Tamandua tetradactyla: one gene and its partners. The protein of the gene in region 1 purifies or fractionates together with the protein of each later gene. This does not show direct contact. Links are inferred from orthologs where the notes say so. Each region holds a gene or a part of one and is shown in the gene's direction. Other genes may lie near its edges. The genes, in order: TNKS1BP1, CNOT6L, CNOT10 and CNOT2.

Region 1 (7,029 bases):
CCCAGGTGAAGAGGAAGAAGACGTGGCAGAGGAGTAGGTTTTGGTTGCGCCTTGTGGGGGTGAGATGGTGGCCTGTAAGCTTAAGAGTCGAGAAGATTTGTGGGCATTTCTCTTGTCCCAGCATTAGCCACTGACCCAGGGCAGAAAAGGAGTGTCCAGCAAGGTCACTTGAGAGGTGCTTCAAAAATAGTCAGGGCCCTTGTACGTGCAAGGCGCATTTTGAAGCTAGCACAGCACAGTGGGGAGAGATTGGAATGGGAGTCAACTGGGTGGCTTTGGGTAAATCATGAAGGCTCAGCTTCATCATCTGTAAAATGACAGTAAGTCCCTCCATGCTTTTTTTTGCCAAGACTCTTGATTGTTAGTGTCAGAAATACAACTCGAACTTGCTTAAGTGTAAGAGAGAATTTTATAAGTTCACGTAACTAGAGAGTGCAGGGATATAACTTGTATCAGGCACTACTGGACCTGGCCTTCAAAAGTTGTGGGGAATCTGTTTGTATTTCTTGCTTTTTGGCTTCCTTATTTCTAGGCAGCTTGCCTCATGCAGTCGCAAGTGGACTCCAGCAGCTGTGGGCAGGCTTAGTCTTACTGGTTTAGCATCCAGTGTGCCCCTTCTCTCAGAGCAATGGTAGTGAGCAGTGTGGTCACATACCCTTTCCTGAGCCTGAGATAACAGGGTGTGCAGGGCCTTTAGAGCCTGCAGTTGGGGTGAGCCCCTTCTGAGTATGGGAGAGGCAGTTTCAACAGAAAATTGAGACTGTATTAATCCACAAGTATTGGGAATGAATATTTGGGCTGCAGAAATACTGATGTCTCCTAGCACTGCTTGCCCCATCCTTAGGAAGGTGAGTGAGCAGAAGCTTATGAAAGTTCCTTGAGGACTTTGCAGCACCCACAGGTGTAAGCATCATCTTTTGAGGAGTTCTGTCTGTATTTGGGCAGGTGTTAACTACGTGGGTGGAACTGAGGCTGGCCTTTCCCACTTCTGGTAGCAACAGAGTTCAGCCTTCATCAGCAAAGGCTAGAGGGTAGATGAAGATGATTAACCACAAGGAAGTGCTGACGTGCTGGACGAGTATGAGGCGACGTTTCTGTCTGGGAGTGTGGGATGGAGAAGGGACCGGGTTAGGCGATGACTAAGGAAAGCAGCTAGAGCCCATTGGCTTGTTTGGTTTTTAACATATTGAGCGAATAACCAGTTACCATGGCTAGGACTGGGGAGAAGATGGCTGAAGCCCCCTCAGCAAAGGGGAGGAGGCAGGGCTGGCGATCGGTGGTAGAGGCTGCCCTGCGGTCTTTCTCCCTCTCTTCTAGGCAGGGGTCTTTGGATTTGTGTTCCTCCTGTCCTGAGGCTGCAGGGTGCTGCCTTCCCTTCCTGAATCTGAGTCCCGCTCTTTTTGGCAGATTCGACAGCAACGCCTCTGCCAGCTCCTCCAGTAACGAGGGCGACAGTGACCGGGAGGAGAAGAAGCGGAAACAGCTCAAGAAGGCCAAAATGGCCAGGGATCGCAAGAGTCGCAAGAAGCCTGTGGAGGTGCAGACTTGGCTCTAGACGGGAGGGTGTGAGGGGAGCCATTCTCCACTTCCCATCTGCCGCCAACAGAACTTGCCGATCGGCCATCCTGGGGCTGCTTTTGTGTAGCCAGTGATTAGGGCATTGAGGGTTATCTTCTTGGAAGTTTTTCTCTCTGGTCCTTGCCCTTGAGGTAAAGTTTAGCTCCTGGGCCATGTGAATCAGGGGTCAGGCCCAGAGAAAAGGGGGCCCCTACGGAGCTAGGCACTGGAATGCTGAGGGGAGAAGCCGTGCTGTTGCCCACCCTCGGGAAGCTCTTTGTGGCCTGCTATTCTTTGGTCCCCCTTTTTTTTTTTTTTAAACCCAAGTAGGTAATCTAAGTAATAGCTGTGGGAGAATGGGGGGGGCGGGGAGTGTCTGGGAAGTGGATGTCTGGAGGCATTTGGATCCTCCCTCGTGTAGGCGAAAAAAGGCAAAGACCCCAATGCGCCCAAGAGGCCCATGTCCGCCTACATGCTGTGGCTCAACGCCAGCCGGGAGAAGATCAAGTCAGACCACCCCGGCATCAGCATCACCGATCTTTCCAAGAAGGCGGGCGAGATCTGGAAGGGAATGTCCAAGGAGAAGAAAGAGGTAGCAGAGACAGGGGAGGGTTTACAGGGCTGGCGAGAAGGGCTTTATTGGGGTGGGGTGGGGTGAGGGTCTTGTAATTGGGACAGGGGGCACACTTGGGCCATTGGTGGAAAATTTCTGTAGAGGATGTTTTGCCTCCATGGGGGAAGAGGTCTCATTCTCTGTTCTACCCTCTCACATGTGTGTGTGTGTGTGAGTGACAGGAGTGGGATCGCAAGGCTGAGGATGCCAGGAGGGAATATGAAAAAGCCATGAAAGACTATGAAGGGGGCCGGGGCGAGTCTTCTAAGAGGTGAGTCTCTGGAACAAAATGGCATCTGTTTTTTTTTTTGGCAGAGATTTCTGCAGGTCAGAGTTGAAAGTGGAGATGTTACAGATATTTGACTGGCAGTACTTCTCAAAGCTGGGGGTGGGCAGCTTCCCAAGCAAGGTTAATGTGCTCTCGGGGGTTGCTGAAGCCACCGGATAAACATGGACTATTTCCCTGGATGGTCGATTTTATTTGAAGGTGTAAAGGAACATTTTTGTTTGTTTGTTTTAATTATAATGGAACATAATGCAAAATGTGCATGTATTTGTTCAAGATGATAAGTTTTGCAGGTGGAACTGCTTCAAGCTGTGACCCATTTCTTCTGGTGTATTCATTTAGGATTCTCTCCCTGGGACACTTTGGACTAACATGGCTGACAGTTTATGTCGTGTGAATTGGGCAACATTGCCTGGATTGGGAAAGGGCCCTCTTAAGACCAGGAGAGGTTTGGCCTAGGCGATGATGGGAAGGAGCCTGAAGGCCGACCCCTTTTTTCCCCTCTTGCTAATACAGGGACAAGTCAAAAAAGAAGAAGAAAGTAAAGGTAAAGATGGAAAAAAAATCCATGCCCTCTAGGAGCTCATCGTCTAAGTCTTCATCCAAGCAGCTAAGTGAAAGCTTTAAGAGTAAAGAGTTTGTGTCAAGTGACGAAAGCTCTTCAGGAGAGAACAAAAGCAAAAAGAAGAGGAGGCGGAGTGAGGTGTGTGGGAGTGTGTGGTGAGCGGCATCCGGGGGGATGTTCCTGGGCCAGGTGTTGTGGTTGGTCTGTAAGCGTAAAGGAGGTTGAGTGAATGAGTGGAATTCTGAGGTTCTGAAGGCGGATGGAAGGTGGATTGGGGGCCCTTCGCTACTGAGAAGTGGCTGGGAGGGCAGCCAGGACTCAGTACCCTTCCCCCTAAGAGGCCTTTGATTTTCAGGATTCTGAAGAAGAGGAACTAGCCAGTACTCCCCCCAGCTCAGAAGACTCGGTGTCAGGATCCGATGACTAAAGAGGAGGAACATTCTCTTTCTCTGCTTGTCCTGTCGCACCACCAGTCTCCCATCCCTGCTTTAGTACCAGTTTTCTCCTGACAGGAAATGTAGTCCTTGGAGTTCTGTGCCATCTGCACAAGCTCTCCTGGTTGGACGCACTTCACTGGGGCAGCAGGGGAGGCGTCTTACTCTGCTCCCTCATAAGGTTGGCTCTTTATAATTTGGGAAGACACTGGGTGGGAGGCAGGGCAATGTGGGGTCCAGCTCCTCAGCCTTAGGGATACTCGCTGCTGCTTATCCTGTTCAAGTTGCTGCAGCAGGGGTCGCGTGAGGTTAGGCCTGTAGCTCCTAACTGGGGCATATTTCTACATTTATTTTGTATTTCTGGTCTGTGAAAAAAAAACATTTAATAAAGGGAACTGACTTTGGAAACCATGTTTTTATGCTTTCTCTCTGGCCCTGTTGCATTGGCCCTACTACTGTTGGTGTTGTCTCCTGCAGTGCCCTGATTGGGCAGGCCTGCTGGCCAGCTGGGAAGCAGGTCTCCAGGTACATCCTGTCCTGTTCCCGACTGGCCAAGCATTGGTTTTCAACCTCTTCTGCCAGAATGGGCCACCTGAGAGTATAGAAATGAGAGCTGATGTGATTAGGAAGTCTTGCTCACAGTTCCACTCCATTAGCCAGGCTGATGGGAGGCAGTTCCTGGCTCCATCCTTCATCACCTATGAGTCAAGGGTCTTCCAAGATTTTAGGTAATTCAATCAGGATTGATCAGCCTCCCTACAAGGGTAGGGGTGAGGGGGAGTGGAAATCTGAGCCTGGAGAGTTGGGGGAGGAGGAGTGATGGGTGTTGGGGGGCGGTGTGCGCGCCTCATGGGGGTGCAGGGAAGGTGTGAAATGTGTGAAGCTTTTGTTCTTACTGGAGGAAGGAGGAATCCTAAATTTGGGGGTTGGAAAGTACCTGTATCTAGGAAGAGAGCCTAACAGGAAATAAATAAGGAGGATTCGTGGGAAAACAGCTGCTAAAGTCCTTACGGTGGGTATAAATGTGAATTTACGCACGTGGGGCGGCCACGTTGCTTCTAGTCCCGGGAGGACGCAACAGGAAACCTCGCTAGTCCTCCAGCGGGTACCGTCTTCGTAGCCGTGACTCTATGGCACTGCAATGTGCACAGGCGGCTTGGGGCTGAGTCCTGGGCTGTCCTAAGGCAGTCTCCTGTCCTCTCTAGGCAGCCGTCTCGGTGGCCATTTTGCCCAAAGCTCTTAGCTACCGAATTGCGTCAGTTTCGCCGGGGCTTGGACCCGGGGCGGTCCCTTCATTCGCAGGGTTCATGAATAATTGAGCACGGGGCTGCCTCTGTCTGCATCCGGCCGTGCGAGCGCGGCACCGGCTTCCCACTCGCGGCTCTGCTTTGGCTCATGAATATTCAGGAGGCGCTCCGGGGGCGTGGGCCTGGGCGGGGCCGGGGGCGGGGCCCCGCCGCGGCTCGCACTAGCTCGGTCCCTCGGTGACCGCGGTAGCAGCGGCGGCGCCGGCGGGGCTTGGCGTCGGGGCGCCGAGCCGAGCGGAGCCAGATCCCTGGGGAGCGCGTGAGTGACCGGGGACGGGCGGGAGCGCGAGGGAGGGGCGGGGTCCGGGGCAGGGGCGGGGGAGGGGCATGGAGGGGGTGGGTGCCTGCCCGCCCGAGCCCCGGCTGGAGCGGAGGGGGCTTCGCCGGGAAAGTTTGCCGGGGCCTGGGGCGCGGGGGTCGCAGGGCGCCCGGGGGGAGATGAGTCGCGTGTGTATGGGGGCGGCGGGCGCACGGGCTGGAGCTCGTGCTGGCGGAGCCAGAGGGGAGGGGGAGGGGGAGGGGGCGAAGGCTTGGGGCGGGGCCGGGGGCGGGCGTTGCTGCCGGGGCGACCCCCCCCCATCTCCCCTTCACCCGGGGCCCACACTGCCCCTGCTCCTTCGGCACGCCCCCAGCCGCCCAGCCCGCCCCCCACCCGGGCTGCGTCCCCAGACCGTCGTCTGCTCGCCGGCTGCTTGGTATCCCGCGCACAGGTCCTCCGCCTCTGTCGCCCCCTCCTCTTTCTCCGCCCGCTCCTCCTCCTCCTCCTCCTGCGCTTCGGCTGCCGCCGCCCCCTCTGTGTCCAGAGCTTCCCACTGGGCCCCTCCAGACGGCCCCTCGCCCCGGGCTGTTCCGTCTTGCCGTTGGTCCTCCCTCCTCCAGCAGTGTACGCGCTGTCCCTGGCGACCTCTCTGGCCCGGCATCTGGCCGGAGATCCCAGGGTCCGTAGGGGCGCACCCCCCACCCTTCCCCCACGCACCGAGACCCCTCGGGGCTCCCGCCCGGGGCTGGAGCTGCCCAGTGCCCCCCACCCCCACCCTCAGGCCTTCTGGCGGCCTTCACTCCCAAGGGTGGGCTCGTCTTCCCCGGACTCGGGAGGTTGGGGAGTGCTCACCGCCGCTGTGATTCTGCAGCTTCTGACTAGGGCCTTGACCACCTGGGGTCCCCTGGCCGGGGTCTCGGAGCCGCTGTGGGCCGACCCCCATCTGGGCCAGCCCCTCACATCCTGGAGGAGCTTATCAGGCCCCCAGCTGAAAGTATCTGTCGTTTCGGGGCCAGTTCATCCCCATTGGTAATCTCCCACACCATGTCCCTTGTAATAACGTTCAAGGACAAGGAAACAGTCTTGTGTTTTTAAATTTTATTTTTTCTGCCACGAGCCCTTCCTCCACGCGCACTTGGTTGCCGCCCTGCACGGCCATTCTCCCAGCCCCCCACGGGTTGGCCTGGGTGCTCCTTGGCAGACTGACCCTGCTGGCAGTCTTGGGTTCCCCTCTACCCTTCTCACACCCTCTCCCATCTCTGAAGCAAACTGGGGCACCGCCAAGGTGGGTGGGGTGGGCTTGGCAAAGGTTGGGCAACAGAGGTGGCTTCTTAGAGTTTGGGGGTATCTTCCCAGACGCGCTGGAATGGGGATGTCTTTCAGGGAGGACATGCTTCCTGCTGGGTTGTCCTCACAGGTTGCACGTCCCAGGTGATAGAAACCCTTCCCCTTCCTTTTGAATAGAGGGCCAAGGCTCTGAGTACCAGGGTGGAGTGCTGGGGTGGGGGGGGGGGGCTCTTGTGGGTGGGATGGGAACTGAGGAGGTGGTGGAGTATCTGGAGGACAGGTAACATGGCCCAGGCGGGCGTGTGGGAATGAAGAAATGGTCTGGGAATGCTGGCAGCTTGGGGTCTGGGGAGATGAGGTGGTTCCCGGGGATTTTGAAGCTTCTTGGTGACATTGCAAACGGAATAAGAACAAAATGGCCAACATTGACTGGGCCTCCTTCCTGTGCACTTGGGTTGTGCTAAGCGGTTTTGCATGTCTTATCTCACTTAAGCCTCCAGGCAGCCTTACTAGCCCCCATGTTCAGATAGGGAAACTGAGGTTTAGAAAAGAAAGCCACCTACCCAGGGTCTTGCAGCTAGAAAGTGGTGGAACCAGGCCTGGTTTGAACCCTGGTCTGTTAGATCCCTCAGCTCCCGTTACAGGTTTGGAGAAGGGCTACCCAAATGACCCCTACCCCAGAGCTGCTGTCTCCCCCCGACCCCCACCCTAAGACCCCTTC
Region 2 (7,979 bases), on another chromosome or scaffold:
GCTTTTAGAGAAGGCTTTCCAGAGGAAATGTTGCTTGAGCAAAAATTTGAAGGATGATTTCCAGGAGGACAAAATGGAAAGGAGCATACCATGTTAAGGAAATAGCATGTTTTATTGCCAAATAACAAGTAGTTCATCAAAGGGAGGAATGAGAGATGATGGTTAAGTGGATGTAGGAGGTGGCTGTAAGAGAGAGGCAAGTCATTAAGAAACATGTATGCTCGTGAAACTCGGTTTTATTGTATCAATTACGGGGACATGTTGAAGGATTTTAAGGGGTAAAGTAATATGAACATAATATGTTTTAGGAGGAAGTTAGGGTTATACTTAGTAGGGATACAAATTAATACACAAAATACAAAATTTAGGTATGTGACAGGTTGACTTAAGACATTGGTAATGCATCAGTACGGAGAAGAGGGAATAGATTAAAGAAAATGTATAAGATGTAGAACTGGTAGATCTTAATGAGGGGGTAAAGTTAATCCATAATATAAAAGGATTCTGTATTGGATGACCATTTAGTGATTACATGACCATTAGCATGGTGCTCCTAAATTTAATGAGAGTCATTCAATGCCAGGAACAGATTTTAGAAGAGAGACAATGAGCTCACTTTTAGACATACTGAGCTCAAAATATGGGTATAAATTATCCAGGGGGAAATATCCAGGGAGAAATTGGCAATTTAGATCTGAATGTGTGGAAAGAACTCTGGACTAAGGATGTAAATTTGGAGTCGTAAGCATAAAGATGGTAGTTTAAAGTTGTAGATATGACAACATAAGACTCAAAGAGTGTGTTTGGGTTCAAAATGAAAAATTTTTGAGGGGCTCAAAGAGGAAATGGCATTTTTAAGGCTTCTATGTCACCAAATATCTTCCCACTTGCAGTTGGTGTCTGAAATTACCATTGTTGTGCTGTATTTTTTTCAGTTAAGGTTGCATTTCTAAGTAATTGCCTTTAAAAAATCCCTTTGGGAACCATGAACAGATGACAGAGTAGTATAATGAAGAGAATAACTTAACTAGGTATCTAGAGACCAGTTTCTAACATTGACTTGGCCTTTGACTTGCCTGGGTGATGTTCAGCAAGTCATTTTATCTCAAGTTACTCTTTCAGAAAATGAGGAAGTAGGACTAGGTGATCTTTAAAATTTGGTAGATGAGTATTCCGCAAATGTTAATGTCTTAATGCAATTTAGTTCAGTGATTTTCAAACTTATTTTAGTAGCAGTTAGCCTTCTCTGAAGAACTCTCACGCAGAAATACAATGTATTAGGATGTTTTGGTTACTGAGATGCAATGCAAGTTATTTTAAATGTTGAAGAGAATACACTAGGTTAATTTAACTATACACTATATGGAAAAAGTTCAGCTGGACTTCAGGGATAACTGGAAACAGAGACTGGAGCACTGTCAGGACTTGTTTTCTATACTTCTCATCTCTGTGGCTGGCTTCATTCTATAAAAGGCAGTATGTGGCCATTAGCCACTCAGACTTCCTTCTTGGGTATATACCACTACTGTGGAATGGCCTTTCTTCCCTTAGTTCTCCCTGAATGCATCCTGGGGAAGAATTCTGCTTGCTTCAGGTTGAGTCAATTTGCCCACCTTTACCTAAGAAGGTGGGGGACTCTTGTGGGCCACAGTTACCATTAGCATCACTTATTTATGGTACAGGCAAGAATAGTTTGCCCCCAAAAGGGAGCATTATCCACAAAAAAAAGGAAGGTTACTTGGCTGAGAAATCAATGACCAATACGCAAAACAAAAGATATTCTAGTTGAGGACCCACCTACTTGTTCTCTGTGTACTCGAGTTGGCTACTGAAACATACCTGCCAAATCCTTAGAGTACAGCAGTAAAACTGATTTTATTGATTGGACGGCATGCCAGTTATCTCCAAGTCCTTGATAAACTGAGGCACTGGTTATATATTGTTGTTGTTGGTTGCGGCGGTGCTTGCCTAGTAGAAAATTTCTGGAATATAAAGAAATACTAGAGAGAGTGATAAAGTTGGGGTGGAGATTCAGAATACTCAGGGATCAAGAAACTTGAGAAGGGGTGTGCGGAGATGAACTTTGCACAATAATACCAATGGTGGAAAATGTTTGTCTTTGGCTAAGGTAGTTCTTTATATCACCCATGGTTGTTCTGGGGTAAAGAACAAAGGGGAGGATGATGGAAAGAGAGTGTTGATGGACACAGAGAGCAGAGGCAATCAGTAAAGCCACCTTCTTTGGATGAAAACATCTATGGTAGATGTCTTCTTATGTCTAATCTTAATAAAAATAATATCTGACAAACATGAATAATTCTAATGAAAACCTTATTTGAAAAGATACCAAAAACAGGTTGCTTTTTTGTTCTAAACCTTGATCTACTAAAAACTGCTGGTTTTTTTAATGGCTAAAGTGCTACTCTTTTGTCGTTGTTGCTGGTATTTGTCTTTTGATTGGAGTCTTATGAGGGAGTAATTTTTGATAACAACAATGATTTAATTTCTCAGCTAATACAATTTGTCTGCTGCCAACTATTTAAAAACGAGAAAAACAGCACTCTGTTTTACAGATGATGCAGTTATACTAATTAATATATGTACTGTTTTCCTTCTGTTTACAGTAAGTCAATCTGTTTGTTACGGTATAAAGGGAACATCCCTGAGAGTGGAACACTGTTTAAATTATATTCAGTTGGCCTTTTTAACAGTAAAATCCATTATTCCTAACTCTTAATATGAACAGATTTATATTGTTTTGGAGCGTATCTCTTTACTTCAGCATTTGGTAGTATTTCTCTTTGGGGAGGAGAGTTTGTGTAACAAGGAGAAAGGCTGTGGCAAGATGCCATTAAGGCAGGTTAACCATTCCGGATCCTGAAATGACCTGTTTGGCTTTGTTGCTGACAAAGTCCAAGATAATTATTCATTTTTATAGTGTAGACTCAAGATAGTTGGGATCCAATGAGACTTTTCCTGGATTAAGGCCATTTTGACACCTTTTACAGAAGTTGGCACGGTCTGGTATTGCTAGGGAGGGAAATGGAAACTTAACTTTCATGGAAAACAAAGTAAACAAAGTCAGAGGCCTTATCTGTCCTGACAGGCTTCTTCAATCACTCACACATTCTGGTGAAAAAGAGAAAGTGTTGGAATTGTTCTGCAGTGGTGGATTCTTTCTATAGCTTTTCAGTTCTGGTTCAATGATTTGCATTTCACCGCACCTTTTTTTCCCAAGGGATGAAGGCATTTTACATTCAATAACAGGGCCCGAGATAATTGCAGCCAGGACAACGTGCTTGGTGTGCTAAATAACATTCTTGTGGGAAAAACTATTGAACACTAATAATATACCCTTGACCAACAATGGTTAATACACAAGCTTGAAGCATGCATCCAGAGACTGAAATTGTGCAAAACTGCAACATCAGTATCTGCCCCAGAGCCAGTGTAGCTTTGTTTATTGGACCTGCTAGTGGCAAAAGTAGAAGCTGACGCACAAAAACAAAATTAAGCCCCAGGAAACTAAAATGTCAACATCACATGCACCAAGTAAACCTTAGTATTTCTAGTTTACATTTTAATATTTTCATTCTGTAGCGGCCACTGGTAAAACTGCCAAATAAAGGTAATTCTATCGCGAGAAAGGAGAATTAGAAAATGGGACGGGGTTATCGCAGAGCGTCACAGGTTCTTTCATTTACCTTTCACTACACAACTCACATATGTTCCACATTTTGAAAAAGCCTACTGATGAGGTAAGAAGCATTTTCTTCGATCACCTCACCTGGTGTCTCATTAGCCACCCAGGCCAACGCTTGGCTCCGCCGTCAGGCCGCCCTAGGTGAGTGCGCAACGCTGAGTCCAGTCAATAATACCGGACGAGGCGGTTTCGTCAAGATGGCTTTGTGTTTGCTTGCTTTTGACAGCCCACCAACCTTCCCAGCTCTGCTTGTCACTTAAGCCAAGAAAACAGAAAGAAAACAGCAAGCGTGAAAGAGAAAAGGGGAAAGATCCCAGCCCACCACAGGCGCACGCGCAGCACAGTAGTACACAGTACTCTAAGGGCGGGGCCAAGACGCGGCGCTGGAGCTCCGCCCCGGCGCTGCTCCGCCTCCTTCCCCTCACCCCACCCCTCAGCGCAGGGGAGTGACTGACTCCCGCCATCCCCTCCACGTCAATCAACTCTCCTCCTTCTCGCACTCTCTGCACCTTGTTATTAATCTCAATACCGATATCGCCCGGACGCCTCTCCCCCGGCCCTCGGGGGTGTGAACGTCTGCGAGCGAGAGCGAAGGCACCGAAAGCTGGCGTCTCTGTACAGCAGGCTCGGCCTCAGAAGCAGCAGGCGCAGCAGCAACCCCCGCAGCGACTGTAGCTCCAGCGCCAGGAGGCCAAGGCCAAGGCCAGGCTCTGCGCGGCTCCTGGAGTAACAGCAGCGGCTCCGGCGGCTGGCGGGGGCGCACTTTTCTCCGGCGGGGCCCTTTTCGTCGGCGGCCGCAGGGCCCCTCCTGCGCGCCCAGGGTCAACCTCCTTGAAGCCCGACGGCCCGGCCTTCGTCCCTTTCCCGGTCCCGGGATTTGTCTCCTTCTCGCCTCCTTCAGCCGTCCGCCTAGCCGTCGCCTCTGCTGTTCCCCGGGCGGCCCGGCCCGCCTGCCCCGCGTCCCCTCCGGCCGGTGCCTCTCTCCCCGGCGGGCTGCCTGCATGTCTTTGCTGCCCTCAGCCCCGCCGCCACCGCCGCCGCCGCCTCCCCCGCCGCCGCAGCACCAGCACCAGCCGCCTCGTCGCCGCCGCCGCCGCCGCCGCCCGGACCCCGGCGCGCTGAATGCAGGTGAGGACCGGGCACAGGCCTTTCAGCGACCCCAGGCTCGGGCGCCCTGTGCACCCTCCCGCTCGCGAGCCCGGGCCCTGCCTGCCGGGGTAGCTTCCTATGGGCGGGCGGGAGAGAGGCCCGCCCGTGGGTGTTTGTGTTTGCGTCTGCGGCCGCGGCTCTGGTGGGGAAGCATCTGTGGGAGCCTGGTGTGTGCGCGCGCGCGCGTTTGTGTGTGTTTCCCCCGCCACGGGGAAATGGCTGCTGTTGCTCCTTCTGGGCCAGAGGAAGAGAATGAGGTAGAATGTTTTTGAAGGAGTAGGATCGCGGGTGTTAGGAAGAGAGAGCGCGTTCTCGGGCAAATGAGATGGGAGTGGGACAAATGTGTGTGTGGTGTTCGAGTTGGACCCTGGCGGGCGGGGAGGAGGTCCGAGGACCCACCGCGAGTGGGTGTGTGTCGGGTGACTGGAGAGGGCGGATGAGGCTGACCCGCGTCTCAGTCCGGAGGCGAGAGGAGGTTCCGGGTTGAGTGTGAGTGTGTGTGGGGGGTGGGGGGGTGGGGGGGAGTGGTCGACGCTTACAGCCCGGACTCCGGGGGTGGGTTCCGTGTGTCTGGGACCCCCGAGTGGCGTGTGCCTCACCCTTTGTGGTTGAGGGATCCGAACCTCGCTGGTGGGAGTCGCTCGGCGTGGGCCGGGGAGGGTGAGACCCGGCCCGGAAAGCTGCTGGCTGGGGCCGTGCCGCGGTTTCCCGGGCGGCGGCAGGAAACGCGCCTCTCTGCGGCGCGGCCTAACTGCCTCGGCACCCGCCAGCCTCCCGGGACGCCTACCCGGACGTCAGGCCGGCACGGGCCCAGGGCACTGCCTCGGCCTGGGCAGGTGAGGGTCGGAGGCGGGACACGCCTGTTCTAGTCGCCTCAGCCGCCTCCGCGTCTGCTGAGGGAGAGGCGACGGCTTATTTTGGCGTTGGAACTGCAAGCATTCTCCTCTGGCGGGCGGGGGGACCCGAGGGAAAGTGAATCAAAGCAGCAAATCTCGGGAATACTCGGTGTCGAGGTCCCTTCTACTCTATCTCCCTTAAGGGGTGTGGAGTGACTGAGTAAATATTTGCGTTTTTCTTTGCAAATACTTCTCATTGGTAAAATGAATGCTTTTAAAATTATTATGTTTTTATGGAGGAACGCGAGAAGAAAAGGAAGCTGGCCTCGCTGGCCTATGGTATTGGTGGGTTTGGATCGATTTTGTGCATTTGAAATTGTTTTAGCCTGCCTCCTAGGGGGAAAGGCGTGTACACGCTAAGCTGAGGGAGGTTGATGAGGAAGAGGAAGTTACTGAAGCTGTCATCCTCCTTAACTCCGCTGACTGTTTAGCTCAGGCTGTTTAGATGAGTTGTGTTCGGGGAGTTTAGCCAAGCCGTTTCTACACATTGAAAGTACAGTACAGTACTGCCTTTTAAGAGAGACTACCTATTGCCCCTAGTTATCTTAACTGTCAATCAAGATAGTCATGCACAACAGACACCTTTTCCTCACAGTTTCCTTAGTCTCTAAAACCAAGATTAGGTGGCCTCTGTTGTGTTTTGTGTGTGCTCATGGAAAGCTATTCTTGAGAGTAGTTTAAATAAAACGCAGTTATAAAGATAAATCTGCCAATAGGGACATAGTGCATTTTAAAACCAAATGTAAATGGTATTTGGATAATTATTGCTGATTTACTTTATAGTCTCTGCCCCGGTTCCATTTGTATCTAGTTAGCTCATTTAGCTAGAACTAGAAGTCATGATACAGACTTGTAGTCAGTGCTCTGTATAATGGCCAGAGATTGCTCTTTTCTAAACCTGGTCTGACAGAGAAATAATGCATGCTGTTCACTGGGAGTGAGGGACTGAGAGCTGTTTTCTGTTACCACTACTGGAAAAACAGCTTTTCACATGCAATTTAGTAGAAAGAGGATTTGTTTTACAGACCTAAGAACATTAGCTGTGCCTTTTTTCTTATCTGTTTGACCTTAGGCAAGGTACCTAATATCTGTAAGTCTCAGTTTTCTCATCTGTAACAGAGGGATAATTAAAACCTTCATAGTAAAGTTGTTATGAGGATAGAGAAACATGTTTGGCACATTTTAGATGCTTACTTGAATTTTAGTTCCTCCTCCTGCAGCCCTGACTATGGGCATTGAAAAACATTAGTTTGAAATGCTAGTGATCAATGAAAAAGTGAGGGGTAAGGGGTATGGTATGTATAATCTTTTTTTTTTTCTGTTTTTGTTTTACTTCTTTTTCTGTTGTCTTTTTCTTTTTTCTGAATTGATGCAAATGTTCTAAGAAATGATGAATATGCAACTAAGTGATGATATTGTGAATTACTGATTTGAAAAACAGTTGAGGGAGAGGCGACGGCTTATTTTGGCGTTGGAACTGCAAGCATTCTCCTCTGGCGGGTGGGGGGACCCGAGGGAAAGTGAATCAAAGCAGCAAATCTCGGGAATATTCGGTGTTGAGGTCCCTTCTACTCTATCTCCCTTAATTACAGAGTAATATTCAATGAATTACTCATTGAAAAACATGAGTACAGATACTCATTTACCAAAGCAATATTATGCAACTATAAGTTAAAAAATCTAAACAGAACATTTTAGAATTTTGATTTTCATAAGGTGTGTACATATATATATATAAACAGCTTTTGAATATTGTATGTTGGAAGTTGTTTTTCTAGAAATAGATTGCCATTAAAATAGCCTAATATACTACTTTATAGAGAAATAGTCATACTTAATTTTTTCTGTTTGCAAATAGCCCAGCTCTTTTTCATTATTCTTTTTACTAGTTCTTGCTATGTAGTCCTGGAAAAAATTTAAAGTTATGTAAGTACATCTGTGTTCCAATAAATCAATCATTAAAAAGAACCAAGGAACCAGAGTTTATTTATATAAATCCACAAAGTATACAAAAATTGCTGTGTAATTATTTTAGTGCATGTTGACTAATTCCACTAAACAGAACTCTTTGGAATATTTTTCAGAATGTAAGCTAAAATCTTCTATATGTTTACCTTACAGTAATCTTCCATTCTTACTACTATGTGTGGAGTAATAAATGTGTTCATTAAATTTTAGCCGTATTTTGGTAGGCAAAGATTGGTATGTAGTTTAAGGTAAAGGTAACTGAG
Region 3 (7,596 bases), on another chromosome or scaffold:
CTCATTGTCCCTGGCCATTAGAGAAATGCAAATCAAAACCACAATGAGATACCTCACACCCACCAGAATGGCCATTATCAACAAAACAGAAAATGACAAGTGCTGGAGAGGATGTGGAGAAAGATTCACACTTATTCACTGTTGGTGGGAATGTCAAATGGTGCAGCCGCTGTGGAAGGCAGTTTGGCAGTTCCTCAAAAAGCTGAATATAGAATTGCCATATGACCCAGCAATACCACTGTGAGGTATCTACTCAGAGGACATAAGGGCAAAGACACAAACGGACGTTTGCACACCAATGTTTATCGCAGCATTATTTACAGTTGCAAAGAGATGGAAACAGCCAAAATGTCCATCAACAGATGAGATAGAGGGAATATATGAAAAACCCACAGCTAATATCATCCTCAATGGGGAAAAATTGAAAACTTTCCCCCTAAGATCAGGAACAAGACAAGGATGTCCACTATCACCACTATTATTCAACATTGTGTTGGAGGTTCTAGCCAAAGCAATTAGACAAGAAAAAGAAATACAAGGCATCAAAATTGGAAAGGAAGAAGTAAAACTATCACTGTTTGCAGACGATATGATACTATACGTCGAAAACCCGGAAAAATCCACAACAAAACCACTAGAGCTAATAAATGAGTACAGCAAAGTAGCAGGTTACAAGATCAACATTCAAAAACCTGTAGCATTTGTATACACTAGTAATGAACAAGCTGAGGGGGAAATCAAGAAACGAATCCCATTTACAATTGCAACTAAAGAATAAAATACCTAGGAATAAATTTAACTAAAGAGACAAAAAACCTATATAAAGAAAACTACAAAAAACTGTTAAAAGAAATCACAGAAGACCTAAATAGATGGAAGGGCATACCATGTTCATGGATTGGAAGACTAAATATAGTTAAGATGTCAATCCTACCTAAATTGATTTACAGATTCAATGCAATACCAATCAAAATCCCAACAACTTATTTTTCAGAAATAGAGAAACCAATAAGCAAATTTATCTGGAAGGGCAGGGTGCCCAGAATTGCTAAAAACATCTTGAGGAAAAAAAACGAAGCTGGAGGTCTCGCGCTGCCTGACTTTAAGGCATATGATGAAGCCACAGTGGTCAAAACAGCATGGTATTGGCATAAAGATAGATATATCGACCAATGGAATCGAATAGAGTGCTCAGATATAGACCCTCTCATCTATGGACATTTGATCTTTGATAAGGCAGTCAAGCCAACTCACCTGGGACAGAACAGTCTCTTCAATAAATGGTTCCTAGAGAACTGGATATCCATATGCAAAAGAATGAAAGAAGACCCATATCTCACACCCTATACAAAAGTTAACTCAAAATGGATCAAAGATCTAAATGTTAGGTCCATACCATAAAACAGTTAGAGGAAAATGTAGGGAGATATCTTATGAAACTTACAATTGGAGGTGGTTTTATGGACCTTAAACCTAAAGCAAGAGCACTGAAGAAGGAAATAAATAAATGGGAGCTCCTCAAAATTAAACACTTTTGTGCATCAAAGAACTTCATCAAGAAAGTAGAAAGACAGCCTACACAATGGGAGACAATATTTGGAAATGACATATCAGATAAAGGTCTAGTATCCAGAATTTATAAAGAGATTGTTCATCTCAACAACAAAAAGACAGCCAACCCAATTACAAAATGGGAAAAAGACTTGAACAGACACCTCTCAGAAGAGGAAATACAAATGGCCAAAAGGCACATGAAGAGATGCTCAATGTCCCTGACCATTAGAGAAATGCAAATCAAAACCACAATGAGATATCATCTCACACCCACCAGAATGGCCATTATCAACAAAACAGAAAATGACAAGTGCTGGAGAGGATGCGGAGAAAGAGGCACACTTATCCACTGTTGGTGGGAATGTCAAATGGTGCAACCACTGTGGAAGGCAGTTTGGCGGTTCCTCAAAAAGCTGAATATAGAATTGCCATACGACCCAGCAATACCATTGCTAGGTATCTACTCAAAGGACTTAAGGGCAAAGACACAAACGGACATTTGCACACCAATGTTTATAGCAGCGTTATTTACAATTGCAAAGAGATGGAAACAGCCAAAATGTCCATCAACAGAAGAGTGGCTAAACAAACTGTGGTATATACATACGATGGAATATTATGCAGCTTTTAGACAGGATAAACTTATGAAGCATGTAATAACATGGATGGACCTAGAGAACATTATGCTGAGTGAGTCTAGCCAAAAACTAAAGGACAAATACTGTATGGTCCCACTTATGTGAACCGACATACGAGAATAAACTTGGAATATGTCACTGGTAACAGCGACCAGCAGGAGTTAGAAACAGGGTAAGATAATGGGTAATTGGAGCTGAAGGGATACAGAGTGTGCAACAGTACTAGATACAAAAACTCAAAAATGGACAGCACAATAATACCTAATTGTAAAGTAATCATGTTAAAACACTGAATGAAGCTGCATCTGAGCTATAGGTTTTTGTTTTTTTGTTTTTTTTACTATTATTATTTTATTTTTTTCTCTATATTAACATTCTATATCTTTTTCTGTTGTGTTGCTAGTTCTTCTAAACCGATGCAAATGTATTAAGAAACGATGATCATGCATCTATGTGATGATGTTAAGAATTACTGATTGCATATGTAGAATGGTATGATTTCTAAATGTTGGGTTAATTTCTTTTTTTCCGTTAATTAATAAAAAAAAAAAGACGAGTAGCTAAACAAAGTGTGGTATATACATACGATGGAATATTATACAGCTTTAAGACAGAATAAAGTTGTGAAGTATGTAACGACATGGATGGACCTTGAGAACATTATGTTGGTGAGACTAGCCAAAAACAAAAGGACAAATACTTATGGTCTCACTGATATGAACTGACATTAGTGAATAAACTTGGAATATTTCGTTGGTAACAGAGACCATCAGGAGATAGAAATAGGGTAAGATATTGGGTAATTGGAGCTGAAGGGATACAGACTGTGCACAGGACTGAATACAAAACTCAGAAATTGAGGGCACTATACTACCTAACTGTAATACAATTATGTTAAAACACTGAATGAAGCTGCATGTGAGAATGATAGAGGGAGGAGGGCTGGGGACATAAATGAAATCAGAAAGAACGATAGATGTTAAAGATTGAGATGGCATAATCTAGAAATGCCTAGAGTGTATAATAATATTGATGAAATGTACAAATTTTAAAATGTTTTTGCTTGAGGAAGAACAAAGGAATGTCATTATTGCACAGTGCTGCAAATACATGGTAATTAATATTTTAAAATGTCACCTTATATGTGAGACTAAAGCAAAAAAATGTTTTTTACAAAATTAAAAAAAAAATTAGGGAATGAACAACCCCAAATATATCTCTCCCTTTAGTCTCACACAGAAGTTGAAGTTTTAAAATATGGACAATATCATCGTTTACCCAGTCTTCTGATATACCTTAGTCCTATCCCGATCAGCTTCATTAGTATCTCTACTTGATGTCTGATCAATTTTTCAAATTTTTAAACAGTTCTTGTTGGTGGTACTGCTGACTTTAATAGCTTCAGAGCTCTAACTTTCAGGGAAAGACCGTGTTATATACAAACAGCTCAGTATCTCAGAATTTAGAATTAACAGTTACACTTCCTGAATATATGTGACAGCTGTAACAGCTTACAGTCTAGGACCTTGTACAGTAAGTTCCAACCTGATAACCCAGGCTTTCTACTTTAGTTCACAGAATTTTTATATTATAGTTAGTTGATAAGATTGAGGCATGATAATATTTGTCTTTTTGTCCCTGAATTTCATTCAGCGTACAGCTCTTCAGGTTCATTCACCTAGTTGCATGCCTCACAACTTCATTCCTTCTTGCTGCTACTCAGTAGTCTATTGTATGTGTACACCATAATTTCCCCTTCCATTCCTCATTCATTGTTCCCTTAGGCCACCTCTGTTCATTATGGATCACAAACAGTGCTGCCAGAAACACCAGTGTGCACATGTCCATTTGTGTCCCACACTCAGTTCCTCCAGGTATATATTAAGCAATGGAGTTTGAGGATCATATGGCAAACCTACCCCTAGCCTCCTGTAGAACCACCACACTGCCCTCCAAGCGGCTGCACCTCTCATTCCCTACCGATAGTGAATAAGTATATCTCTTTCTCTGCGTTTTCTCTGGCACTTGTTTCTCTCTGTTCATTTTTAAATAGTTTTATTCACACATCATACAATCCAACCTAAGTGAATAGATATGCCTTCACCACCATACTCTATCAGAAGACATTTCCTTTTCTTCCACAAAGAATCCATACCCCTTTCCCAATCCTCCCACCTGTTGACATTTAGTTTTGGCATCCTTGTTATTTAAAACTTTTGTCCACGAAGGCCTGGTAAGTGTTTTCTGCATTAGATTTCCTTAGGCGTTAACATTTCTTTTTTCTTTGGGAACTTTTTTTCACTCAAACATCATTGGAGCTGTATTTTGACAAGCACAGCTTGGAGGGAAGCTCATGTTCCAATCAGATATGTATTGTTAACATTCTGTTTTGGAATGTGTTAAGCTTTCAGTTAACTGGCTTCTTTCAGTTTTCAAAAAGCAGTGAGTGCATTTCTCTTCTACTTAGTTAAAACATAAAGGGAATTATTTGGTTAGAAATGAAGTCTGTTGGCTTAAAGAGTGTCAGAGTTTGTGGATCAAAGAGCTCTGTACGCCGAGAAAGTCAGCCATGTTCTTTAGGTCATAGAGGAAGAAAAGTCAAGCTTATGGATGAACAGTCCTTTACTCTTTCGGTTGGCAGTGGGACAAACAAAGACATATTGTGGAATTATGTGCAGATTCTATCTGGTAAGAACAGTTTAAAAACTGATTACAGAAATAATGTCTAATCCTTGCAGAAAACTTGAAAAGTGCAGAAAGATAAAAGGAAAGTAAAGATAGAAATCCCATTAAAGTCTATTTTAAAAAAACAAAATTTTCATCCTGCAGTAAAAGAATTTAGGTAAAACCATAGTTGGAGAATATGTAAAAAGATTTTTTATTGAGCTCAGATCTCTGAAATGTATGTTCTTTTCTTTTCTAGAGAGTATTAGACTTTTACAATTCCTAGGGGAATAATGAAAGCAGTGCCTACGTGAGCCACTATACTTCAACTTCTTGGTGAATTACTGGGTATTTCCTTCTGTCCTTTATTTATGTCATTATCTGACAATGGGCATATTTTGGAAGAAGCTGTAGAGATAACTTGAAGGCATACTAAGAATTTTGGGCATTTGATTTAAACTGATTATGCAAGTTCTTATGAGGGAAGATAAATTTTTTTAATTAGTTTCCTGTTTAGATCTTAAGAAACAAAAAAGTATTAATTTTCATTGTTAACACTTTATTATAATTTTATGTTTAGCTGAGGATTTTGCTTTCAACCTAAGATCATTATCTTGCTTTCTGAGATCCTGAAACTCTGTGTCATATTTTTACTGATTTTAAAGTAATTGTTTCTTACAGTTTATTGTCCACATGAAAGTTTTGCCAAAGGACTAGTGTGTAGATAGTTGGTAGTTGTGCAATTAAACTCGTTACTGGCTTTCAATAGAAAAAAAGTGTTCAACATTGTCTTTTTAAATTGTTCGTTAAACTATCAGTTTTTCCTCCTTCCCTTTAGTAGTGAATTCTTAGTGTTTATTTGACTATGCTGAGATGGAAATGGAATACTGATTTATCTGCTAACTTTAATTAGCAGAAATAAACATTTCTAATTTAAAAAAAAGCCTTTTGTAGGGCAGATCTTAAGGCTTAGATAAGTTCTCTTAAGTAGAAGTTATATATTTAGTATAGTGATGATTCTCAAAAGGGTTTCTGATCTTCAAGGAGTTTCATAGGGCCTAAAAAACTGTTCCATAATCAAGCCACTTTAAATTAATTTGTTAATTTGTATGTTTAAAGTGCAGAAGTCAGTACATTAAAAAACATAACTGCAAGAATCCTTATTTCTGGCAAAAGAAAAGGGGGGAGAGAATTAATGTTTATTTAGCATTTCCAATAAAGGGCAGGTAGATAGCCAATGAAAGACTAGACTAAAGATGTGATTTCAAAGCTTGTGCTCTTAATTATATCATGTTGCCTTCTTTAGAAAAGGAAGTTGGAAATCTTTAGTGACTTCTCACAAGTGCCAGGCAAGTGTTTCCCAAACTTAACTTGCTGAGAGTGTTGGTTCTTTGAGATGCTTCTGGAATACAGGTTTATAAATAGTTATGAAAAAATGCCATTAGCATACATACAGTGTGATGAATTCTCATACACCAACCACACCCATGTAATCAGCACTCAAATTAAGAACCAAACCATTACTAGTACCCCAGAAGCCCTCTGCACGCATCTTTTGGTCACTAGCCACCCGAAGATAAATACTCGCCTAATTTCTAAACTCATTTATATTAATTTTGAGCAGATATTCTTTAAAGAGTAATCCATGTTTGTTATGATAATTTAAACAAACATTCAATACATTGTTTTAGTCAGTGGTTTGGATTCTTAGACTTTTATACCAACAGCACAAGCAACAAAAGAAAAAAAAATTGGATTACATCAAAATTAAAAACTTTGCATCAAAGGATATCATCAAGAAAGTGAAAAGGCAACCTACAGAATGGGAGAAAATATTTAGAAACCATATATCTAATAAGGGTTTAATATCCAGAATATATATAAAGAACTCTTAAAACTCAACAGCAACAGCAAAGACAATACAACTTAAAAATGAGCAAAGGACATGAATAGACAGTTCTCCAAAGAAGATGTGCAAATGGCCAATAAACACATGAAAAGATGCTCAACATCATTAATCATTAGGGAAATGCAAATCAAAACTGCAGTGATATGCTGCTTCACACCCACTGGGATGGATTTTTTTTTTTTTTTTTAGTAGAAAACAGCAATTGTCAGTGAAGATATAGAGAAATTGGAACCCTTGTACCTTGTTGGTGGAAATGTAAAATGGTACAACTATTGTGGAAAACAGTTAGGCAATTCAAAATGTTAAACAGAGAACTACAAAATGACCTGACAATCTCACTTCTAGATATATACCCCCAAAAATAGAAAGCAGGGACTCACAACAGATATTTGTACACTGATATTCATAGAGACATTATTCACAAATGTAGAAAGATGGAAGCAACCCAAGTTCCCGTCAACCAATGAAAGGATAAACAAAATACATACAGTAGGACATTATATAACCATAAAAAGAGATGAAGTTCTGATCTTTACTACAGTGTTAACCTTGAAGACCTATTGAGTGACAGAAGCCCGGCACAAAAGAACAAATGTTGTATGATTTTACTTATGTCAAATAATTTGAATATGCAAACTTTTAGAGACAGAAATTAGAGGTTACCAGTAGATTAGATTAGAGGTCAACCAATGTATGTTGATTGGGGAATGGGGGGTTAATGCTTAAAGGGTATAGAATGTCTGTCTGGGTGACAGGAAAGTTTAGGTGGTGGATGGAGATGATGATAGTGCAACATTGAATGTAATTAACACCATTGAGTTGTATATTTAC
Region 4 (7,590 bases), on another chromosome or scaffold:
AGCCCCAGAATGCCCAGTCTTCTGGGAGAAAGCACTGCCTTGATGACTTCAAAATCAAGACTTTTATTCTTAAAAATACAAGCAATAAATATCCATTGTTTAAGCAAACCCATTGCACGTTTTTTGCTTTAGCAGCCAGGAAACTAAAAACCTGGCTTTAATAGAAGTTTATTTTTTTCACATCAAAATCTGGATGTAAGGTGTGCAGAGCTAGTATAGTGCTCTGATGCACAAAGTCCTCAAGGTTCCAGGTCTACCAGTTTAAGGTACTACCATCCCTAGGATGGATGAATTTGCATATGGCCATACATGGAAACTAGAATTACAGGCAATCACATCTTCATTTCAGGGTGCAAAATATACGAAGAGGAAAAGAAAACAAGGGCTAAAGGTGTGCACCGGATATATTTTTAAGGATGGTTTTGAAAGGGTGCTACATGACACTTCTGCTTATATTCCATTGGCCAGAACCATCTCATGGCTACAAGGAAAGATGGAAATACAGTCTTCATTCTGGACTATATCCATTACCATGAAACAAATGGAGCAATTTCAGGGAACTAAAAGTCTCTGCTACAGATTGGAAAGTGCTTAGTACCAGACAGAAATAAAAAGGAGGCAATGGAAAGGCAGGAGAACAAGATGAAGTTGGAGTGGTAGGTAGAAGCCATATCATGCAGACTTGAGGGCCATGGTAAAGAATTTGGATTTTATTCTATGTGCACAGGAAAGCCACTGAAGGGTTCTAATGAAAAGAGTGACATAACCTAATGAAACTGATTACTCTGGCTATGTAGAGAATGATTTGAAGGAATTAGGGGCAAAGTGGAAGCAAAGAGATAGTGTGGATATTGCAGTGGTCCAGCAAGAAATGACAGTGGCTCAGACAGGATGATGGGATTGGAGGTGAAGAAAAGTAGCTAAATTCAGAATATATTTGTAATTAAGAGCTGATACTGGCTGATGAGGTCAGAGTTTGAATGTGAGGGACAAGAGGAATCACAGAAGATTCCTAGTTTTACACTAGAGTGTTTTATGGAAATGGGAAAGACCAGGTGAGAAAAAGGTTTAGGGAATAAACAAGAGGAAGTCAAATGTTCCCGTTTTTTTTTGCATGAGCAGGCACCAGGAAACGAACTGGTTTTCCGGCATGGCAGGTGAGAACTCTACCTGCTGAGCCACTGTGGCCCACCCAAATGTTCTGTTTTAGACATATTAAATTGAGATATCTGTTCTTTCTATCCCTTGTTATAGTGAAATTTTCAGTATTGGTCCACCCCTTTTAAAATATGGAAGACTCTTTTCTACAATAGTTATATAAGGTACATGTTCTAGTTTGCTAGCTGCTGGGATGCAATATGAAAGAAACAGAATGGCTTTTAAGAAGGGGAATTTAATAAGCTGCAAGTTTATAATTCTAAGGCCAAAGAGATGTCCCAATTAAAACAAATCTATAGAAATGTCCAATCTAAGGTATCCAGGACAAGATACCTTGACTCAAGAAGGCTGATGAAGTTCAGGGTTTCTCTCTCAAGCGAGAAGGCACATGGCGAACACAGTCAGGGTTTCTCTCTCAGCTGGAAGGGCACATGGCAAACATGGTGTCATCTGCTAGCTTTCTCTCCTGGCTTCCAGGTTCATGAAGCTCCCCAGGAGGCGTTTTCCTTCTCCATCTCCAAAGGTCGTTGGCTCATGGATTCTCTACTTCGTAGTGCTGCAGCATCTTCTGCTCTCTCCAAATCCTCTTCATTCTCCAAAATGTTTTCTCTTTTATAGGACTCCAGAAACTTCTCAAGACCCACCCAAATGGGTGGAAACATGTCATCATCTAATTCAGCTTAACAACCACTCTTGATTAAACTACATCTCTAAGGAGATAATCTGATTAGTTTCAAACATACAGTATTGAATAGGGATTATTCTACCTTTATGAAATGGGATATACATACACCCTTTCAAACCAGCACAGTAGATAAGGTATTTTTTTCCCTCAGCCTACATCAGTAGTTTTCCTATAAAATGTAGAGGAATCTACCTTACATGTATTTTGAAAATATACAAAATACATATCTATAAGTACAGACTATTTTTCAAGTACAAGAAAAATCTATTAAAGAGAACAGAAGGGCAAATTTGTTAAATATTAGCAATAAACTTGTTAACGCAGAAGGACAATTTTTTATATGTACCATTTACTGACTGCTTACTAGCAAACCATAAATATACTAAGCCCTTAACAAATGTTGACACATTTAATACTTAGAATCACCCTCTAAGGTATGCATTAAAGACATTTTACAAATTTGTAATCAATCGGACACAAGCAATAGGACAATTAAAAAACTCTTCTTCACCAAGGCTAAAAGTGAAGTCATCCTAAATAAACAGTATTAAGTAAGCAATAGTATCAGTGTATTTTCTCCTAACAGTCCTAACCTAGATACTTAAATTCATGAAAATGTTTGCTGTTCCATTTACCTCTTCCAGTAAACAACCCAAGGTAACAAAATCCTCAAATCAGACCTGTCCTGTTTGGAAATGATTTCTCCAATTTTACTAACGTTTATACTATTTAAGACTTGTGCTCTTCTAAGTAAATATAGGAACAGTGAGAACAAGGTACACCATTTGGCCTTAACAGAGTTCTATATGTAAAACAAATTAATAGCTTAACATAGCAAACAATACTCGGTGTTTACTATATGGTTAGAAGCATGCGCCCAATTTTCATCATCTATCTTATGATTCCAAATTACTAATAGTTATACTTTCAAATTGTTAATAGCGAGATTAGAAGGCTCAGTAATGCTGAGTACTATCATATACATATACATACTTGATATGGAGGCATATCCAGTCAGCTTACCGTGGTAGAGGCCAACATCAGAGGAAGAGAAACCAGAAGAGGCCGGAAGGAACTGCTGGGGAAAACGGGAGGAAAGTAAGAACATAAAGAAATGTGTGTTGCTCCTCTCTGAATATTCCTGAAGCAAAAAGCACAACGAAGCAGAATATTTAATGAAAGGAAAGACTAACTGGGCAAAACACTCTCTGGCTACAACAGCATCATTTGGAGGTTAAATAAATTCATACAGTATCTACTGAAAAATCAAAATACCTTGCACTTCAAAGCATGACAATTACCTTTATTTTATAGTAAGCTTATTTTTCTTGTTATTTTTTACTGACAGAGAATCCTTTACTGTTCAATGACAAATTTTAAATTGGATTATAAAGGAATAAAGAGAGAAGATTTACTATTGCAAAGAAAGCTCACTTTGAGCTACGATTATTTTTCTGGAAAGCAGACTAATCCCCTGCAGTTCTCACCAAAGCCACTATAATTTCAAATGCCTTGCTGATGGCCCGGCCAATCACTCAAGTTTACATGGGAAGTGGGGGCTAGAGAAGCAGTAAATACCAAGCTCAGCTAGCGCAAACTCACAAAACAGTGCTTTAAAACAAGCAAACAAACAAAAAACTGCTCCCGCCCAAACTCCTCCCCCTAGATTTAGAAAAAAATAAAAATAAAAATAAAGGAAGGGCAGTGAGTAGAAAATAGCAATGGTTTCGGCAAAGTGGAACTCACTTCTCAGGAGGTGACGGTGACGTGCTGCCGGTGCCTGGAAGTGCGTGCAAAAGCACCGGAGGCTGCGGGGGCTGAGGAAGGACATGTGGACAGCGATCAGGTTTGCTTCAGGTGACGGGAGACAGGAAGGGCACCACTCAAGGTGGACGTGGGAGAACGAGGAATCCTACCCAAACACAAACACGCTCCGCATCCCCAGAGAGGGCTGACTGACGCCACCTCACCATTCCTCGAACCAAGGACCACGGCCCAGTCCGAAGCAACCAGGCCCTAGGGGGACAGTAGTGGCCGCAGTGGCTCCCGCTCGTCGTAACCGCCGCGGACGAGTGACAAGCTACCCAGTGTGTGGGGACAGAAACAGCGGAGGCCACAGAGAGAGCGGTGGAGAAATGAAGAGCCTTTTCTCAAACCCTCTCATGCCTACGGGAAGCTGTCTGCCCACCGCCTAAACCCGATCCATTCGGCAAACGTAGCTCCCACCTCCAGCCGCCGCCGCCGCCGCTTTGAGGGAAGCCGGAGCACGGGGGTCACGGCGGGGGTCAGAGGGTAAAGGTCTTGCTCCCAGCAGCCTCTGCGGTGGATACGTCGCCATCTTGGATCCGCGGGACAAGAAAATTCATGCGGTGAGTTTTTGGCAAATTTTCGGAAGTCTGGCAGCGGGGCACGCGGCGGGGACGGCGGATTCGGGGCCCTCGCAAGGCGGGGGAATGCCTCGGGGCCGGTCCGGTCGCGCCCGGGGTCCGCGGGCAGCGTCCCGGCCTGCAGCTTCCCTTTGCTTTTGTCTCGGCTCCAATCGAGAGGGAGAGCGGAGCGGGCGGGGAGGGGGGGTGGCGGTGGTGGAGGGAGGGAGGGGGTGTGTATGGTGGGGGGGTGGATGGGACGTAAAGCGTCGCTCTGCTTGGGCCGCTGCAGCGGCAGCTTGGGAGCTGAAGGCTGGGTCCCGCCCGCGGATGGCGGGGCTTCCCCTAGATTTGGCTTCCCCAGGCTCCCGCCGCCGCCGCGCTGCTTCCTGGGGAAGAACAGACGGCGGCTGAGGACCCCGGGCCCATTTTAAACAGCGCTACCACCTTCCTAGTAGCTGCTGCGGTCTCCGGATCCTCACATTATCTCGCTACATGCATATCACCCGCAACTTGTGTGTGTTTCTATATGTGTGTGTGTTTGGTGTAAGGTGGGGGGCACTGGATTGGCTAACGGGCCTCAGGCGTCTCCAGACCTTGGGATACCGAAGGCTATAGTTGGTGGAGGGGGAGTGCAACTGTGATGCTGCTTCTCCCACCGCACCCGGAGGGTGAATCTTCGGTGGTGGTGTAGGAACTGAGTCCGATTGGTCCTTGGGCGGCGGAGGAACCCGAGACGCTTCTGTCTGTGAAGTTGCTAGCCTTAGGTTTTCACTTCCGCCGGAGCCTCTTTACCTCTTGCTGCTTTGGCTCTAACTTAAAAGTTTCACGGAAGAAATGAGTGGGCTAGCAGAGGCCCTCGTAGTTCTTACTTGATCTCTGTGGTCCGTCTAGGAGATAGCCTCTAATTCTTGCTAACTATGGTCCATAGCGAATGCGAATTATAATTTTTCTTTAACGAAAGCGTTTTCTAGATTTTAGAATTTGTATTTATTTCAGAACTGTGGGTACGGTGTTCTTACCATAACAGTGTTACATACGGGTACCACTCTCGGAAGGAACCTAAACATCAATTTCGAATCCTAGGATGCAGCTTCACTTTTTAACATCCAGAAGACGCGGTGCAAACACATTCTGTTTCATTTTCATATCTTGGTCAGTTGATCCTACTCCATTCGTAATCATCTGAACGATTCCTAATAATTCGATACCCTGATATCAAGCCTTAAGATTTTTGGCTAATGGTAGGAAGTACTGAGCTTACAAAAGCTGTTCATGAGGGAGGCCAGACTTGAATTTGGATTTCAGAGTTGAACGTATTTCCTGTAATGTTTAATATTAGCAATTTCTAGCGCTCTAATCACAAGTGCAACTCATAATTTGCCTTTGACGCAACATAAGCGGGAATAATAAAGTATGAGGTGGGCGGGCGAGATAGAAATTTGAAAGTTATCTACTTACATATCAATTTTTTGTTGCGTTGTTTGGGAATACTTGGTATATTCTACAACACTTCTTTTGCAATTTTGGAAAGTGGCTTTTCCCAGATATATAAAGGACTGATTGAGAATCACCGCACTGAAGTAGTTAACGTTTCAAAATCTACATTCACATCTCTTTCATTTGCAATGTTTCTTAATCATTAGTAAACTTTGTAGGTTGAATTCCTCTGAAGTTTGCAGTTCTTTTGTAATATTAAATGCTAAAGGAAAAGGAAAGTAAAATGCTTTAAAAAGACAAAATTCCTTACACTCCATCCATTTTTTACTTGACTTTGTGATATGCTCAGTTAATTTTAAAAAGGTGGTCTCCCCACATTTTTTTCCTGAGAGTCTTTCATTTTAGTGATTTCTGTGACTGCTTTGCTATTTTGACAGGAAGTGAGAAACTGTATTTTACATTTTTTGCATCCTAAATAATCCTGCATCAACATAAGTAAGTTAATTAAAAAACCATTTGTTGGCAGATTTTGTTCAGTAAGTATATAGTAGAGATTTCTGTGGCCTAATCTGATACTGTTAGGGAATGAGAGTTGCCTGTATATTTAACTAACCAAAGAATGAAACTTTTTTTTAATTTTCAATTTCTATAACACTTCCGTTGCAAATTAAATTAATATGACGGAAAAATGAAGGCCTAATGTATAAGTGTGAGTAACTGTATCCCTCTCTGTTTGAGTACCTAATCTTGAAGCTAAAATAAGACTCAGAATGACATGCTTACCTAAAAGAATGAGAAACTTGTTTTAATACTTTATAACTTTAGATGTTTGATTTACTCTTTTCATTTTTCAGAGATGCTTTAGTAGTTATAACCTGGAAATTCTCTTTGTTCAAAAGTAAATCAATACTTAAGATTTATGGTGACATTTCATTAGAAATGCTTCTGATCCATTTGTTTTGTTTTTTCTCTCTTCAGTAGACATTGACATTCCAAGTAATTGTATTTTGAAAAACAATTGTAACATTTTTCAGATGCTGTGGGAAGTTAGTTTTGCCCTTTTTAGTGACAAATTTGCTTAAGATTTTCTGATAATACAGAAAAATTTTAAAACGTTTCCGTTGTATATATGAAATAATGAATAGATATTAATAGATTAGTAGAAACTTAGTTTATAATTTTTTTGTTCTTTGAAAAGCAGTGTTAAATGATAATAGTATTTTTTAATGTCTTAAAAAATATTTAACTGTAGAAAACTTAGTTATGATCATATATTTAAAAGCAAATTTTATCACATGTGCCTGCCTGAATAGGCATTTGAAGACAACTTATGCAAACATTGATACAGTCTTCCTTAGAAGAAAGATACTACTGAATATTTATGATTTTATTTGTTACCTGAAACTCTAGTGGATTTTGTAACACAAAGAAACCGAAATACTAGGTAGGGAAGTTTTAGAGGCAGAGTCAATCTGAGTTGCACTGTAATATTTGAATAGAATTATATACAATATTAATAATTGCACATCAAGGGGCCTACCTAGTGGTATGATTGTAGTCATTCAGATTGATAATACAGGTGATTGTTCTTACTAGGGATGATTTCTACCTGTGGTACTTATAGGAATTGAATTCATTATGATATTTTGGAAAGAGCTCTACTAAGTTGATGTTTATTAAAAGGAAAAGTACTGCAAAAACAATGAAATTAAGGTTTTACATTTCAAAAATTATTTTTGAATTTATACCTTGGTTTTGTTTACTGAAACTTTCCTCAATATAAATATATGTTTTCTGTTTCTTGTATTAGTTTTTCTAATAAAATCCTTGTATTTCTCTTGGAAAAACTCATCTCTTATCACAAACATGCTATACTGATATAGCTTGTTGATTTATATACTATTGTCTATTTTATTAGGGATGACCTGGATTTAGAATTCT

Evidence for each region.
Region 2: the proteins of TNKS1BP1 (region 1) and CNOT6L purify together in Homo sapiens (affinity purification with mass spectrometry; 4 studies listed by BioGRID and IntAct, with this or other methods). This does not show direct contact. The link is inferred for Tamandua tetradactyla from reciprocal best matches to the Homo sapiens genes TNKS1BP1 and CNOT6L.
Region 3: the proteins of TNKS1BP1 (region 1) and CNOT10 purify together in Homo sapiens (affinity purification with mass spectrometry; 4 studies listed by BioGRID and IntAct, with this or other methods). This does not show direct contact. The link is inferred for Tamandua tetradactyla from reciprocal best matches to the Homo sapiens genes TNKS1BP1 and CNOT10.
Region 4: the proteins of TNKS1BP1 (region 1) and CNOT2 purify together in Homo sapiens (affinity purification with mass spectrometry; 5 studies listed by BioGRID and IntAct, with this or other methods). This does not show direct contact. The link is inferred for Tamandua tetradactyla from reciprocal best matches to the Homo sapiens genes TNKS1BP1 and CNOT2.

The regions. Positions count from the first base shown.
Region 1 is NC_135335.1:20,264,266-20,271,294, forward strand, and holds the start of TNKS1BP1 (182 kDa tankyrase-1-binding protein), read left to right. Parts: upstream 1-4,013; 5' UTR 4,014-4,183; intron 4,184-4,909; exon of another isoform or gene 4,910-5,021; intron 5,022-5,400; exon of another isoform or gene 5,401-5,472; intron 5,473-5,873; exon of another isoform or gene 5,874-6,085; intron 6,086-7,029. Other genes in the region: FACT complex subunit SSRP1, read left to right, coding at 1-33, 1,408-1,537, 1,979-2,149, 2,353-2,441, 2,973-3,159, 3,377-3,448.
Region 2 is NC_135350.1:51,038,101-51,046,079, forward strand, and holds the start of CNOT6L (CCR4-NOT transcription complex subunit 6-like), read left to right. Parts: upstream 1-4,978; 5' UTR 4,979-5,104; coding exon 5,105-5,109; intron 5,110-5,451; exon of another isoform or gene 5,452-5,749; intron 5,750-7,979. UniProt on the Homo sapiens protein: Has 3'-5' poly(A) exoribonuclease activity for synthetic poly(A) RNA substrate.
Region 3 is NC_135341.1:55,329,611-55,337,206, reverse strand, and holds the start of CNOT10 (CCR4-NOT transcription complex subunit 10), read left to right. Parts: upstream 1-4,593; 5' UTR 4,594-4,690; coding exon 4,691-4,880; intron 4,881-7,596. UniProt on the Homo sapiens protein: Component of the CCR4-NOT complex which is one of the major cellular mRNA deadenylases and is linked to various cellular processes including bulk mRNA degradation, miRNA-mediated repression, translational repression during translational initiation and general transcription regulation.
Region 4 is NC_135333.1:138,799,257-138,806,846, forward strand, and holds the start of CNOT2 (CCR4-NOT transcription complex subunit 2), read left to right. Parts: upstream 1-4,571; 5' UTR 4,572-5,296; coding exon 5,297-5,364; intron 5,365-7,590. UniProt on the Homo sapiens protein: Component of the CCR4-NOT complex which is one of the major cellular mRNA deadenylases and is linked to various cellular processes including bulk mRNA degradation, miRNA-mediated repression, translational repression during translational initiation and general transcription regulation.